Cricetulus griseus: one gene and its partner. The protein of the gene in region 1 purifies or fractionates together with the protein of each later gene. This does not show direct contact. Links are inferred from orthologs where the notes say so. Each region holds a gene or a part of one and is shown in the gene's direction. Other genes may lie near its edges. The genes, in order: Atf2 and Atf1.

Evidence for each region.
Region 2: the proteins of Atf2 (region 1) and Atf1 purify together in Homo sapiens (affinity purification with mass spectrometry; 3 studies listed by BioGRID and IntAct, with this or other methods). This does not show direct contact. The link is inferred for Cricetulus griseus from reciprocal best matches to the Homo sapiens genes ATF2 and ATF1.

Annotation. Positions count from the first base shown.
Region 1 is NC_048599.1:101,318,449-101,322,016, forward strand, and holds the end of Atf2 (cyclic AMP-dependent transcription factor ATF-2), read left to right. Parts: intron 1-2,887; coding exon 2,888-3,001; downstream 3,002-3,568. UniProt on the Homo sapiens protein: Transcriptional activator which regulates the transcription of various genes, including those involved in anti-apoptosis, cell growth, and DNA damage response.
Region 2 is NC_048595.1:396,707,653-396,712,177, forward strand, and holds the start of Atf1 (cyclic AMP-dependent transcription factor ATF-1), read left to right. Parts: upstream 1-1,613; 5' UTR 1,614-1,867; intron 1,868-4,525.

The DNA of each region.
Region 1 (3,568 bases):
GAATATTAATTACTGTTATATTTTTAGATACTCATGTTAACTAAGTGATTTAAATTATCTTTTTGTTCCTAATAAAAACATTTTTTTTTTACTTTTCTCTCTCCCCTTTCCTCCCTCTAAAGCCATAATATACCCCTCACTTTCATTCAAATTCATGGCCTCTTTTTTTTCAACTAATTGTTATTGCATATATGTATGTTTCTAAATATAACCTGTTGAGTCTATGTAATGCTACCTATATGTATGTTTTTAAGGGTGAGTCATTGATACTGGACAGACAACTGGTATGTTCTTTCCTTAGGAACACCATCTCTCCCATTCCCAGTTTTCTTTAGTTGCCGGTAGTTCTTTGTGTACAGTTAAGGGGAGGTAGGGGCGGGGTCTTTTCTCCATTCATGTTTGGCATGTTCACTGATGTCATTCTTGTTCCGCTAACATTTAGACAGTCATCTTGGTGAGACTTTATGGGTGAGGGAGGTTTGGGAGGGTATAAGCAGTCTGATCAGGGATATGGGAAAAGGGAGGGGCTCCTTTGGGAGAGGCAGGGAGAGAAATACAGAAGAGGTGGAGGGGGAATAGAGGAGGATAGCAGTATTCAAGTGGTCTGATGTGGGAAGTGGGAAAGGGCAGCTCTTTAGGAATTGGGAGGACAGTCAATACAAAAGGAGAGAGGTAGGTAAAATAACGATAAGGATGTCTGGAAAAGCTACAAGCAATTAAACTATTAACTATTTTTTTAAAAAATAATCCCCCAAAACTATATACTCTGTGTATGAATATAGTTTTTTTTTGTTTTTATATGCATACATAGTTTTAATGAACCTTTCTCATCTGAGTGAACAAAACTTCCTCCAAGAACTAAAAACCATTGCCAATACCAGACATGATATACCCTCTTTTTAGTTATTGTCCAGGGCTTTCCAAGAGACTCACAAAACATACAGTCTATTGCTGTTGCACTTGGTCACTCCCTCTCACCCCCAAGAGGTGGAAGGTAAGTCCCTATTGCTAAGACACTGAACTTCAGAGCTAGGGCCCAGAGACCCCTGAGCTGGAACTGACCTAAATGCTGCTTCCCTGAAGACTAGCTTTCATGGTACCAGAAGGTGCCATACATGCTTCCAAAGCAGGGAAGCAATCAACAGTCTTAATCCAGCTATGACACCTAGAAACCACATCAGTGATCAGCATAACACAGTTAACCTAATGGTGCAATAGGGGCATACCATGATGGTAACCAGTAGCTCTTTGATTGGATTTAAGACCCACTTAACAAGAGGGAGACCGTGTCTGATACTGAAAAACCCAGTTACCTACTCAGTGCTAGTGAAGTCATATTTATTGGAGAGGAATCTATAGCCACCCATTCCTCTAAATTTTTAGTTGCACTTTTGTTTTGGTTTGGTTTTTGGGTTTTTTGTTGTTGTTGTTGTTGTTTTCAAGACAGGGTTTCTCTGTGGCTTTGAAGGCTGTCCTGGAACGACCAGGCTGGTCTCAAATTCACAGAGATCCACCTGCCTCTGCCTCCCGAGTGCTGTAACTAAAGGTGTGCGCCACCAATGCCTGGTGCATTGTTGTTTTGTCATTGTGTGTGTGAGTGTGTGTGTGTGTGTTTTGTCAGAGAGAGAGAGAGAGAGAGAGAGAGAGAGAGAGAGAGAGAGAGAGAGAGAGAGGTTTGATCCCCTGGAACTGCAATTGAACTCTAATCATCTGAAAGAGTAGCCAGTGCTCTTAACTACTGAAATATCTCTCCAGCCCCCACTACTATTCTTAAATAAAGTATTCTAAATTTACGTTAACCTTTTACTGATTAGGGTTATACTAGCATAAAGTTTTGTTCTGTGCTTTAGTACGCTGTTGCCAGTGTTATAGGGGTGTAGAAGACTATTTGCACAGTCATTTTTCAGATTGCTTAACTTTTGTTCTCATGATTTTGTTTTTGTCATCAGTCACTTAGGAAGGCCTAATACGACTAATCTGCTAAAGTAGTTCACATTCAGCTTTCTGGTTTAAGAGGTAGAGTAGAGGCTGGGTTTGGTGGTAAACACTTAATAGTAATCCCAGCACTCAGGCCTAGGGCAGGAGGATTGCTCTGGTTTAGAGGCCAGCCTGGGATGCAATGATACCCTGCCTCAAAAAGAGAGGTGTTGGTGGATTATGTGCCTGCAATTTTATGTATGCCAGTGTGCTGAATATTCTCACTTATTAATACTTTGGGGTTCATGGGTAAAACCTAGATGATTAGAGTTCATGTAAATCCGGATAAGAAGAAACATTTATAGTGAATTTTTAATGCTAATTTATTAAATCCATAGTATTTCTAAGTCATGAGTGTTGGTAAATGATCACTAATTTCTTAAATTAGATGAATTTATTTTAGATGTGTGTATCACAGGCAACAAATACATTTAACAGTACATCCACTTTCATTGGTTCTGGTACCCTGCATAGTGCTCAGCAAGTTTTCTTGAATAAATGTAATTTCTTTGTTTCTAAACTATATAAACTTGCTTAATTACATTTCCAGGATGAACTTTTTCAATGGAATCATTGAAAATTCATCCAAATTATTGACCTTTCAAGTTTTCAAATAATCAGAAGTGCATATAACATGTAAAGACCCTCAGTGCATAAGGGTTCCATGGCAATGGTGAGCTAGGATGCACAGTTATGGTATTGATATGGTTTCAGCTCTCTACACTAAAAACTTAGTATAAATGCTAAGACACAAAACTGATGGATATTGATTAAATTTATTTAAATAGTACATGTCCCTTAGTGTTCTGCCAAAAAGATAGACTTTTCATGCCTTAAGCTTTGCTTTCTTTAAATAGTAAAATAAGTTTTATCTAATGCTGGTAAGGCATATGAGCTGTTTCTTCTCCAGAGCGAAGTCACCCTGCTGAGAAATGAAGTGGCACAGCTGAAACAGCTTCTTCTGGCTCATAAAGATTGCCCTGTAACCGCCATGCAGAAGAAGTCTGGCTATCACAGTGAGTAATGTTCCATTACCTACAGCTGTAGGCTGTATCAGTGACAGACTGCCAGAGTGAGCAGTACTACCAGTACAAAAGTGCAGACTGCAGTGGTAGAACTTAAGATTAAATATCAGGGTTTCTGCAAGATTATTATAGTCTGGGGTAAGAAGAAGAAAAGTTTTCCTGTTTTTAGCTTTTTTCTAGGCATTAGTATGGATCATAAGTTGTTAACTAAACATTTTTAAGTACACTGTTTAATATCAGTGATCATTTATTGTCATATGTTGACACATCCTGAATTGACAGAGCCAGTTTTTCCTTTGCTGCCCCCATTTAGTAATGATGAGAATTTTTTAATCCACTATCTTCATTCAACCATATACTCTCCATTTATAGTATCCTATCCTATTGTTCTTTTATAGATAATGTCAGCATTGGACAATGTCTGTGTGCTTGTAAGTTTTATGTGGTACTGTCACATTAGTCATAAAAATACTAAAACAGAACAGTATTGAAATTATTTGCTTATGAATTTTCTTCTAAATGTGCCTCCCCCTCCATGAGATTCTTCTGTTTCCAGCTTTGTGGAG
Region 2 (4,525 bases), on another chromosome or scaffold:
GAGGACATCATCTGAACTTAGGTTAGATCTATTTTTTTTTTTTTCATATAGCCCAGGCTGGCCTCAAAACACATCATGATCCTACTGCCTCAGCCTCTGAAGTTCTGGGATTAGAGGTGAAAGTTACCTTACCATGTCTGACCTGACAAGTGGGCATGGTGATGCACGCTTAGATCCTAGCACCAGGGAAGCAGAAGCAGTAGGATCAGGAGTTCAAGTTTGTCCTCAGCTACATACCCAGTTCAATCTAGCCTGCTGCGTTATGTGAGACCCTGTCTCAACATGCTGTATATTTTGGGAACTGAGTCATTAGAATTGCTATGATGTGGATATGTGAACCTTTAAATTATATATATATAATTATATATGTGTGTGTGTGTGTGTGTGACTCCTCTGGAGCTGGAATTAAGGGGGTTGTAAGGCACCTTAGGTGGGTGCTGGGAACTGAACTGAGAGCCTCTGTGAGAGCAGTGCATGCTCTAAACCACCAAACCATCTTTCAAGCACAACTCGGGTAAGAATAAGGAGACTCACATGTGTTACATCCATTTAATTACTAACTAGGAATGATGAGGGGTTGGGCAAACAGGCATTTAGGATGGGAAGGCCACCTACCAGAGAAAAACAAACACAAAGCAAGAGTAGGTGGAGAGACAGCTCCGCTATTCAGAGAACTTGTCCTTGCAGAACTATTCCTAGCACCCACATGCCCTCTGGGCACCCCGCTGGGAAAGGGCTGGAGAGATGCCAGTTAAGAGCAGTGACTGTTCTTCCAGAGGTCCTGAGTTAAATTCTCAGCAACCACATGGTTGGGAGAAGTCTGCTTCGGCACGTCCCATTTTAATGGCACACAGTTTTTTACTTTATCTACTTTTTTGTCCTTGTTTTTGGTTTTTCTAGACAGGGTTGCTCTGTGTAGCTTTGGCGGTCTTGGAACTCACTCTATAGTCCAGGTTGTCTCTGCCTCCCAAGTGCTGGGATTAAAGGCGTGCGCCACCACCGCTCAGCCTAAAACAGCCTCTTAATAGGACAACTTTAAGCCGGGCGTTGGTGGCGCACGCCACTTGGGAGGCAGAGGCAGGCCGATCTCTGTGAGTTCGAGACCAACCTGGTCTACAAGAGCTAGTTCCAGGACAGCCTCCAAAGCCACAGAGAAACCCTGTCTTGAAAAACCAAAAAAAAAAAAAAAAAAAAAAAAGACAACTTTAAACTTCTTGCTAGGGAAGCAAGCCCAGGCCCTCATCCATACTAGCGAAGTGCTCTACTACTGATCTTCCCAGGCCCCACGTTCCCTTTGATCCTGCTGCCTCCACCTCCGCCCACAGCTCCTATGATGCTATCCCGAGGACTGGAAAAAAAAATCAAATAAAAGCTTCCCAACGTTCCTTAGCCTCGCAGCGTACGGAGCAGTGCTGGTCAAGGTCATGGACCTCAACGCCGCCAGAACGCTTAGAGCAAGTAGCTGAGCTCCAGCTGGAGGGCGGGCGAGCAGCACCAGCGAAAGCGCTCGGTTTCCCGAGCGAGCACACGCCACCCGCGCGCTCGCTCCCGAGGCTCGCCAAGATGGCGGCGTGCCACGTGAGCACGCGATGACGCAGCACGCCGGCCCACGCAGGCCCCGCCCCTCCCTCCCTCCCCAGCCCCCTGGCTGCCGCCGATCATGCCGCCAGAGACGCCCCTCGCGGCCGGGAAACGGTAACCCGGGACGGTTGGCTCTCGTTACCCCGCTTCTCTCCGCCCCGCCGACCCCAGGGAGAAGCGCCAGCCCGCCGCCGTCTGCGGCTGCGACGCGAAGAGCGAAGTCGGCGCCGCCTGGGACGGGGGAGTGGAAGTTCCCGCCCCGGGCAGCGGCCAGGCGGCTCCGCAGGTAAGTGGGGGCGGCGGGGAGCGGGGCGGCCCGAACGGGAGCGCGGTGACGGCGGGGAGGGACGCGGTGGCGGCCACGCGCTGGCCGGGGGTCGCGCGCGGCTGGCCGGTGGGGGAGGGGCGCGGGGGTGGGACGGGCCGCGCGCTTCCGGCCGCGCGCCTCCCGGCCGAGCGCTGCGCGAGCGTTGGGCTCGCGGGAAACAGGAGCCGCGAGTTCCGCCAAGCTCTCGGCCGCGACTCTCTCGGCCCACGCCGCGTCTCCGGGCGCGTAGGCGGGAGGAAGAGCCGGGGGCGGCCCGCACCAGGCTGCAGGCACCGGGTCCTCAGGCTCCCCCCGCTACCTCGACCACGGGGAAACCGAGGCCACCCGCCTTGCGGCGGGACGCGGTGCTTTGCCGTTCTTCCGGGTGTCTCCCAGCTGGCCGCTTAAGTTGTAGTAGAAAACTCAGTGTCTCGGTAGCTGCTCTTTCTATTTTTGAGGCGGGATTTGTTAAGTAGAGTTACTGGTGCAGGGCTTCTAGACGTATTCGCCTTTATGGTAGCTTTTGTGTGTGTTTGTTTTTTTCGAGACAGGGTTTCTCTGTACCTTTGGAGCTTGTCCTGGAACTCGCTCTATAGACCAGGTTGGCCCCGAACTCACAGAGATCCGCCTGCCTCTGCCTCCCGACTTGGGATGCAGAGGCAGGCGGATCTCTGAATTTGAGGCCACAACGAGTTCCACGACAGCCAAGGCTACTCAAAGAGAAAACCCCGTCTGAGGCGGGGGATGGGGACGACGAACAAAAAGATCTATTTATTACGAGGTATGTTGCAGACGCCTTTTGTCCCTCTGCTACCTTCGTAAGGTTACATTCACCGCCTGCGTGCAAGTGACTGAAGAGACCAGAGGTTGTCAGATCTGAACTGCAATTAGAGGTTGTGTGGTTCTAAGCATTGTGGCTGTTCAGATCGGATGGAAAAATATTCTGGCAATCCGGAGCCAAAGAATACCACAGGTCACAGTAAGCGTAGCAGCTTACAGCCCTGCTCCAGGAAAAAGTTGTTAACTTCTGCTCCATTCCAGGGAAGGAAGGTCTCATCCAACCCTCATTCAAGAGGTTTATTAGGAAGGACGAATCCAGGAGAATGGCTGCCCTCTGCCATAGCCACAAGCTCAACAGACACAGGGTTTATATAAGGCTTTTTAGCGCCCCCCCCCCCAAGTTTTTCCAGGATGGGGATTGGTCAGATTTCTATCTCTGAGCTCATATTGGCTAGATGTCCTGCTCAGGGATTGGTTAGTTTTCTGCACAGGTTCAGGGTCAAATTTGTCTCTGGTTTCGGGGCCAAAGTGTGTTTCTTTCACTGGTCCTTTTTAGTCGTTTGGCTCTAATTTTAGGTCCAGGGTGTATTTCTTTCACTGGCTCTTATTCCAGGGACCAAAGTGTGTTTCTTTGGCTGTCCCTTTTCCCTACAGTGGGTGCTGGGAACTGGTCCTGTGTAAGAGCAGAAAGGGCTCTTAACCGCTGAGCCATCTCTACAGCCTAGTGTTAGCTTGTCTGGCCTCATACTGTGTTCCCAACTGGTCTTAAATTCTTTGTGGTTCAGTTTGGCCTAGAACCCCCAGCAGTCCTGCCTTGAAAAGCATTCGGACCCTAGTCTTCAAGGGCCTCTTGACAGCATAGATGTAGTAGGAATCTTTTAAAATTGGCCTCACCTGTGATAAGTTTGTATAGGATTTATGATCGCAAAATACATTTATCCCAGAAGTTGGTTGTCAGTAGATGTTTTGTTTAAAATGCTAGTTGCCCCACTTTACGGTCTACACATAGAGTTTCATCTCCATTAGATTGTAGCTAAGTGGAAGAGTGTTTGCCTAGCATGCTTTATACTCCGCACTTGGAAACAAATCAGGAAACTGGATATCCTAAACTTGAATGTGACAGCTCCTAAATAGTGTGTGTAGTTCTTGATTGTTTGGTCTACAGGACTGTGATAGTAAATAGCACCAGAAGATGGTTGTCATGTCAAAACAAAACAAAACAAACCCTGACATGAGTTCAGTGAATTTCCAGTTCTCACATAGGATTATGTCTCAAGTTTTCCTGTGCCTCAGTTGCCCTGTTTCTGTACCTGGGGTGGAGTGCCATTATTTCCTCAGTTCTAATTAGATACATCTAAGTGAGCAGGTGGTTTTGTTACAGTGTTAAATGTGAAGATTGTGCTGTGTAGGGAAGGGATGTACTTAACTTCCTTTCTGGTGGAGAGAGAGAAAAAGGAATAAAAAGGCCAGTTTGGTCTACGAGCAAGTTGTAGGACAGCCAAAGCTATAGAGAAACCCTGTCTTGAAGGGAAGGAAAAACATACCAGGATATACAGTCAGCTTCTAGACTAGTTGAGGGGAGGTCATCCTGTAGGTTTGCCTGGAAGAAGTCTTAGAAGTCCTCAGGAGGAAGGGGAATAAATTGTGTTTGTAGTATAGGAAATCACATGAATGAAAGCCTCAAGGTAAGTCATGGAGATGAGGAGTGGCTCCCTGACCCCAAACTTAGCACAATATTGTTAAAATACTGTATTTGATACTTGCTGTTGGTCCATGACATCTCTGCTGGCCACTGAGCACACATAAATCTGTTTAAAACTTGGAGAAATAGCCTGCCTGGCAAACACAACTCATTGT